Linked DNA regions of Coturnix japonica. The protein of the gene in region 2 purifies or fractionates together with the protein of the main gene of each other region. This does not show direct contact. Links are inferred from orthologs where the notes say so. Each region holds a gene or a part of one and is shown on either strand. Other genes may lie near its edges. The genes, in order: ENDOD1 and SLC34A2.

The links.
Region 1: the proteins of SLC34A2 (region 2) and ENDOD1 purify together in Homo sapiens (co-immunoprecipitation; 3 studies listed by BioGRID and IntAct, counting the BioPlex papers as one, with this or other methods). This does not show direct contact. The link is inferred for Coturnix japonica from reciprocal best matches to the Homo sapiens genes SLC34A2 and ENDOD1.

The regions. Positions count from the first base shown.
Region 1 is NC_029516.1:165,884,068-165,887,045, reverse strand, and holds the end of ENDOD1 (endonuclease domain-containing 1 protein), read left to right. Parts: coding exon 1-335; 3' UTR 336-2,276; downstream 2,277-2,978. UniProt on the Homo sapiens protein: May act as a DNase and a RNase. Plays a role in the modulation of innate immune signaling through the cGAS-STING pathway by interacting with RNF26.
Region 2 is NC_029519.1:66,479,905-66,484,155, forward strand, and holds the start of SLC34A2 (sodium-dependent phosphate transport protein 2B), read right to left. Parts: upstream 2,986-4,251; 5' UTR 2,921-2,985; intron 1-2,920. UniProt on the Homo sapiens protein: Involved in actively transporting phosphate into cells via Na(+) cotransport.

The DNA.
Region 1 (2,978 bases), on a different chromosome or scaffold from region 2:
ACCTTAAAGCCATCAGCATGGTGCTCATCAGCATCCCCTATGATGTGGGGAGGGTCATCAGCAACATCTTCTTGGGCTTTCTGGGAATTATTCAAGATGTGGCAGTCATCACCTATAGGATTCTACGCATCCCCATGGGGTTTGTCCTTCACCTCGCTTCTTTCCCTTACTATTCCATCTGTGCCATTCCCTCCGTTGTCACAGACATGGCCGCTGGGATCGGTGGCACCTTCTCGCTGGCCATTGATGCCACAGCCTCCATCCTGCATGGCTTTTATTACGTGGCTAGTCACATAGTCAAGCGGTTTATCCCTAAGGGCTCCTCTGGTGACTGATAGGGGTGGAAATCAAGGCTGCAAAGACAGAAAATGAAAGAGGAGTGGGGAAATGCTTTAAGATATGTGGCCAAACGCTGTTGATTTTGTTCTGGTATTTATTGTAAGTGACATTAATAATATGGGGAGTAACAGGGAGGGCCGAGGTAACTTCACGAGGGGACATCACCATTGCAACTCAAGCTCTATCCGTTTCAACGTGTTTGGATTCTATTGGTGCAGGTCACAGACCTGCGATTTGCAGACATCAAGCTGCTTCCTCTGGAAGATGCTCTCTAAATGTGGTACAAGGTTGTTTCTTTCCTACTGCGACAACACTGAGACCTATGCACGGGCAGTGACCTCTGCAGATGCACATCCCTCATGGTGCAGAGGTGGTGGTCTGGGGAAGGACTTCAGTTTCTGAAAGAGAAAAGTTGGGCAGAGTGCAAGGGTAAGGGGCAAGACGGGGATTGGGGAGGGAATGGGTCCGAGTCGTGCTGCTGGTTGCATTGCTCACTGCACTGGAGTCTCTCCAGCAGAGCCTGAGAAGGAATTTGGCTGGGTGTGTTTCACAGCTCTCCAGACCTGCTGCCAGCTCCTTCCCTTCACCACACCGAGCTCGCTTTCCCTGAACTATTCCCTGGTGACCAATCAAGATCTCAACCCCGAATTCCTTGCCCTGGCTGGTGGGCTCCAAAGCCCAGTAGAGCCATGTAGGTGATACTTTTGGTCTTGAATCAATCCAAGGTCTTGTATCAGTCCAAGTAGCCTGCCCTACTTCTGTTCAGAGCTGGCGGTTCATCCAACACACAGCTGGATGTGCCAGAGATCTCTGCTGGATGTGCCCAGGCTGCGGATTGGTACTGTCCTGGTCATCCTTCTTAGGCATATTGTGCAAGTGCACCTCAAGCAGCAGGGGGGTTGAAATCAGATTATCTTTGAGGTCCTTTTCAACTCAGGCCACTCTGTGAATTCTATGATTCTGAAATGATCCTCCTGTAGGACTGCTCTGAGTTGGTGGCAGCACTGATGTACGTACAAGAGGGACAGGGGGAACTCATGACAGGGGAAGAGCAAGGGAGCCCTGTGGGTCATTTTGCTGCTTTCACTGATTTTATGTCCTAATAGACCTTGCCTGGAGAGCAGCTGGAGGTGAGGGAGGCCTGGGGCACAGTTTGCATTCTGCTCCATATATCTCTGTCCAGTGACTCCATTATGAGCAGCGTTCATGTCAGAAGGGCACCTGTCCCTCACCTGCACTCCCTGTCCTCACTGCTCCTTTTTCTTCAGCCCTTGTTCCCATGGGTGTGACGTTGTGGGGACAAGAGAAGAGGGAAGGTCTAATCATGCAAAATCAGCAACGTTTGACTAATCCCTCCTTTGTACTGAAGCTGTCAGTGCAGCGGTGGGCACCAGTGTGTGTGTGCCCCAGGGTCCAGGATGTGGTGGCACTGATGTCCAAATGCAGCTCCAGCCGCCCCCCACATGCCTCTCTTGTGCCTTAAGCATAGCCTTATCTCCAGACTGCTCTCATATCCCAGTGCACTGTGGAATTGATGTCACCATATCTCCATCATCACCTAGTGAGGTTGAGGCCAGCCCATCTCTGTGCCGCAGCCCTGGTCACAGAGCAGCCAGTTCTTGCCATCCAGGAGACCGCAGCACTGTAGGATTCAGGCAGATGTGGAGCCACACTGTTACAGCTGTCTGAACACGCTCGGATTCCAACATGAAGAACCCTGACCAGCACCAGGTCATTTGTCTTCTCTGCTGCATGTCTGAGCAGGCAGTGGGAAATCTGCCTGAAACACCCAGTAATTGTTAGAGAACGAGCAACATCCTGCTGCAGAGTATTGTTTCAGATCATTCTTATCTGGGCATGATTTATGGCTTGTGAGCTTTACTCTGTCCTTGGGAATGTATGGCTTTAACAAAATAAAAGTGACTTTTGCAAAGAGGGACGGCTATATCACGTTTCTGTCTCAACTGGAGATAAGATAACGCAGCCGCGCAGTTGTTCTTTGTTATGGTTTGACATCTGATATTAATGATCCTTTTGTGCTTTTAAAACACCTTTGCATTATCAAAGCACATTAAAAGAGTTAATTCATTAAGGTACAGAATACGTGAGTAAGAGCTGGGGGTTGCAGGCAATGCGTTTAGCTACGCATGTGCCTAAAGAACCCCTTGCCAAGAGAGGCTGGTGTGTGGTGGGAAGGGACTGAAGCAGGAGGGGAAGGGAATAGGGGCTGATGAGCTCCTGCTCTGCAGGGATTGGGATCCCTCTGCCCAGGGTGGATGATCTTAGGACAGGAGAAAAGGCTGGGAGCGGCTATTTCAGGTTGCTCTGTGCTGATACATCTCCCTGAGCACATCCCCCAGACAGGTCTGTGTGCCTTTAGGATCTGCAGCTCAGTGCTTGAGAGCTGCCCTGAGACACAGGCAGACCAAGGGGAGGGGCTGGTCTTCCACATCTTTATCATGATAACTGTGGGCTCAGAGTCACTCACGGGACAGGGAAGGCAACATGACTTGAACTTGCCTCAACCAGATCACCCAGCCCTTCACTGCAGGAGTTTCTGTGCACTTTAAGGTGACCTTTACCTCTGTTATCTTCACTCTGGGTTGAGCCCAGAGAAATAAGCCATGCGTCCATAACTA
Region 2 (4,251 bases):
AGATCCCAGCTCTTGTTAAACGAAACAGTGGAGAAGATAACTTATAGCTGATAACTTACAGCTGATAACTTACACCTGATACTGCGGTTGTCAGAGTCCTCGCCACAGCAACTTAGTGTTAATTGATCACTGCTCTACAAGGATACAATTTTCCCTTCAAACAACTCTTTCTTGCCCTCAATACAAATGTTAATATCTTGAGAAAAACATGCAGAAGACAATCCAGGTGTTCTGGATGAGCAGAGGGTGACAGGGCTGCCCACATCACTCCCTGCTCCTCGGATTAGTTGACATCAGACACAGCACCATTGTAAACGGTGGCTATGAAAACACTAATAGTGGTTTTCTTTTGAGCACTGATGACAACTGCAAAGGAACATGTTAGAGAATGTGCAGAGGACAGGCCTGTGCCCACACAGGCTGCCAGGAGAAGCTCAGCTAGACCCCGGGCACAGGCTGAGTGTGCTGCTCAGTGCTGTGCTGAAACAGGAGCCCCATTCCCCCGGAAAGTGGCAGGTCACAGCACACTATGCATATTGCAAAGGGCTGAAAACTAACGCCGTGCAGGCTGTAACCCAGCCTGCGCCAGCGAGCCACGCAGCAAAGCCTCTCACACCACGGCACGGCAGGTATAGTCTTTCCTCTCCTTCGGAAAATGCTAACTGCGTGTGACGTCCTTTCTGGCTGCAAGGGAAACTGAAACCTCCCGCTCCTCAGGGGGAGATCAGCACAAACGGAGGGAACAAATGCTGCAAGAAAATGTGAGAGGTATGAAGTCAGAGCCATGTTCTCTCCCTTGCTGCTGCATGACAGAGTTAAAGTCCAGGGAAGGAGAAGAGCGACGCTTGGTGTCACACAACACCCTCACTGCCGTCCCTGGCCACTGCACAGCTGTAACAGTGCTGCTGCTGCTGCTGTAGGGCTCCGTGTCAGCATTATTCTGTCTTAAAGCAGCAACAGCGACAAATCTGTTTCTTTTGATGGACTTAACGCAGAGAATATGAAGTTCCATTTGCACATGCCTGTACAGTATTGTTTGTACCTCTCCACCCGTGACCATCCAGTGAAAGGGCAGGTTGTGCCCGAAATGAGCTGTGAGCCTGAAACATATCTCACCTGACAGGAACAGACCCAATGAAATCAAGGCTTTTCTGGGGAAATAAAAAATTCCCAGGTTGCTTATGAAGCTCCAAATCAAATTTTGGCTTTGGACAGACTCTCTACACTTCTCCTCTCCTCTCACAGCCTTCCCACAAACACATACCACTTTTTGCCATCCAGACCATGCTACAGTTTTTATGCTGAAAAGGCGTTTACCAGATGATCTGAGAGCCAGTGCTATGAGTTAGTCAAGATCATTATTTGCTACACATATTTTAGAGCAGTAAATACATAGCTACACAGTAATCCTTCTTATGTACAGTTGGAAGAAATACAGCTTTTCCTCAAAATGCATTATCTCAGACAGAGGAGCAAATTATATTGAAATGGGGAGGGAAAGACCTTAGCCAGCACAAATTCATTTAGTTTCTTTACATTACTTGACAGTTCTACCCAAGAGCCCATTGCAGCCACAAAGCCCCGAGTGCAGCAGAAGAGAAAACCGGGTAAACAAATGCCGGATAGGATCCAGCCTCAGAGCAAACCCCATCTCTGCACTGGCACCTCCATGGGGCTTTTTGTCTGAATAAGACAGGAAGCTCAGCCACCTTGTGAGCTTTCAACTAATGCAGAAGCAATCAAGGAAAAAAAGAAAGGATGTGTGAAAGCTGGAATAAAAAGTCAGCACTGTACTCACTGCTTATTCCTATACAGCCCTGACTTTTTGTCTCACATCTAACACGTGGCAAAGCTAAATAAAAAAGATAAAACTAAGAAGAAAACTAATGCCTAAACTAGTGCAGAGAGAAAACAAATCCCAGACATTAATTTTAGCACTTACAACCAAGCAAAGCTCCAAACAATGCCACTTAAGAGCCAGAACAGAGAAACTTCAGTGACCTGCTTGAAACACCCAGGAGGTATTTACTGAAATCAAACAATTCCTTTTTCTAGAATAAAGCAACAGCAACAGCAAAATGTTCCCAGCAATAAGGAAACCCAACAAGTTACCCCATCCCAAAGACAAAAACATACAGCAAAGATTGGAGAGAGGAAAGAATAATGACATTAAAAGGACTTACTGATCTAATGGAAGAGCTGCTAATAAAAGTTACTGAGAAACCAGCTGATTTCTGTCTACTGTCACATTAGTTGAACTAACTGCATTAGACTAATGTATTCCTTCTACCCCAGTGTATCAAACTGAATTAGCATAAGAAAATGTTTCCGTGGAGAATAGCCTGGCCCTGGTAGTGCTGCACACAGACTGCGGCTATCTGCACCAGCACATGGACCGACAGTATTCCATTCCAATGTTTCATTAATCATATCCTGGGCATTTTCCAGTATCCAGTACCACCGTGACTTAAAATCTCACCGCTTTTCAATCCAAATAATAGCAAAACCAATAACATCTTTATGTCATAGGCAGTTATTATTTGTGTTTTTGTTTGCTTTGCTTGTGACAGCTGCAAATACACCGGGTCTTTTCCTATGATATTTCATTAAAACAACTGGTTACTTGCAAACAAAAAGTAGCAGAGTTTGGTTTTAGAATTACACTTTGTTATCACTACCTTAAAATATAAATGCAGTGAAGCACACAAGCTGAAAATGCTACCAACCGGGTGACATTTCACACGCCCCTCCTGCTCCCTGCATTAGCTCTCTGCTGCCTTTTCTTGAGCTGTGAAAGCAGAGCTGATGATTTATAAGCTAATTAAGTTTAAAATTTTTTATGAGGGGAAAAAAAGAAGAAGAAAGAAAGAAAACAAAGTAAAAACCACAGCACTCCTTGCTCTTAGTTGGTTTTACTTACCACTTCTTTCTCCCCAGGCAACAGAGTGAACGGACCAACTGGGCAGCCACTGCAACCTGCAATATATATAGACAGGTGTTGAGCAAAGTTTGCTTTCATCATTACGCAGTAACATTTTTACAGTCCGAAGGCAGTGCCTACCTCAGTAATCACGATCAACCCTTTTTCAAAAGGAGTGGGCAGCAACCGAGAGTGATAAAACTACAGGCTATTTCACACTTATCACGTTCTAAAAAATGTCCCATCAGCACTTAAGTAAGAGTTACTAATGTGTTCATGTGAGTGCTATGGGACGGTTTGTTCCAGCCGGAGAAATTGCAGTCTGCCTGATCACTCGGTTAATCTTTTTTCCAATAGTAATTTTCAAACAATATTTTGCAATCTCAGAAGTCTGTCAAAAGGATGCAGAGAAGTGGCAGTACTGTTATTTGTCCGTTCGGGTGCCTATTAATCTGCCTAGGAACAGAAGTGGAGGGGAATCAGATAAAACACGGTGTAAGTAGGAAACACGTAAGAACTTCTTTGAGAACAGAGGATGAAGTTTCCTTCTTATCAGTGCTCCGTGTTTACGATTAAGGGGAGCTCATTAGCATTTTGGCGATGGTTTTCATTCTGAATGAGTTAAAGATGTAAGGACACCTTTGATAACTGCATTCAGAGCGTTATCAAGGAAGATTGCGATAAAGAGATATGTTATCCAATAACTACAGTAAGCTATTACCAAGTAGGCACAAATCAGTATTTTACTGATGATTTTAGCTGGGAACTTGAGGGGCTACTTCAGGCACCGTAGTTTTATTCCCTCTGAATTTTTCCTGTTTCAGCAGGCAAGCTGTATTGAGAAAGTAAGCTGTAAACCAGCCACTGAATCAGCAGATCTGCTTCGTCTGTGCATATGCAGGGCTATCTCCCTGCAGCTCGGTGACTTAGTAACTCTGCAAGAAAAATAGAACTCTTGCTTTTTGCACCTTTCTATCTATCAGACACCCAGCCTTTGGAGCTGGGGGCCAGAACCTGCTCCTCACGTTAGTCTCAGAAATGTGTATGTGTAAGTGGTGGCTGCAAAGCCTCCACAGCCCCATCTGCAGAATCGCAAAGCACCTGCTGGTGTAAAGCCAGCTGCTGCCTTGACCCTGATTACAGCTGATGTTGGAGCCCAAGGAGACCTGACAACAGCCTGAAGGGGAACGAAGTGATAGGAAATGGCCTCAAGGACCATTTTCAGAAGTTCAGTTTTCTTAACAAAACTGTCTTTCAACGCTGTCTATAAAAATAGTTGTTTATGATTGATGACCTCCATCTCAGAAGTAGCTGAAGCTTTTAACTGTGAA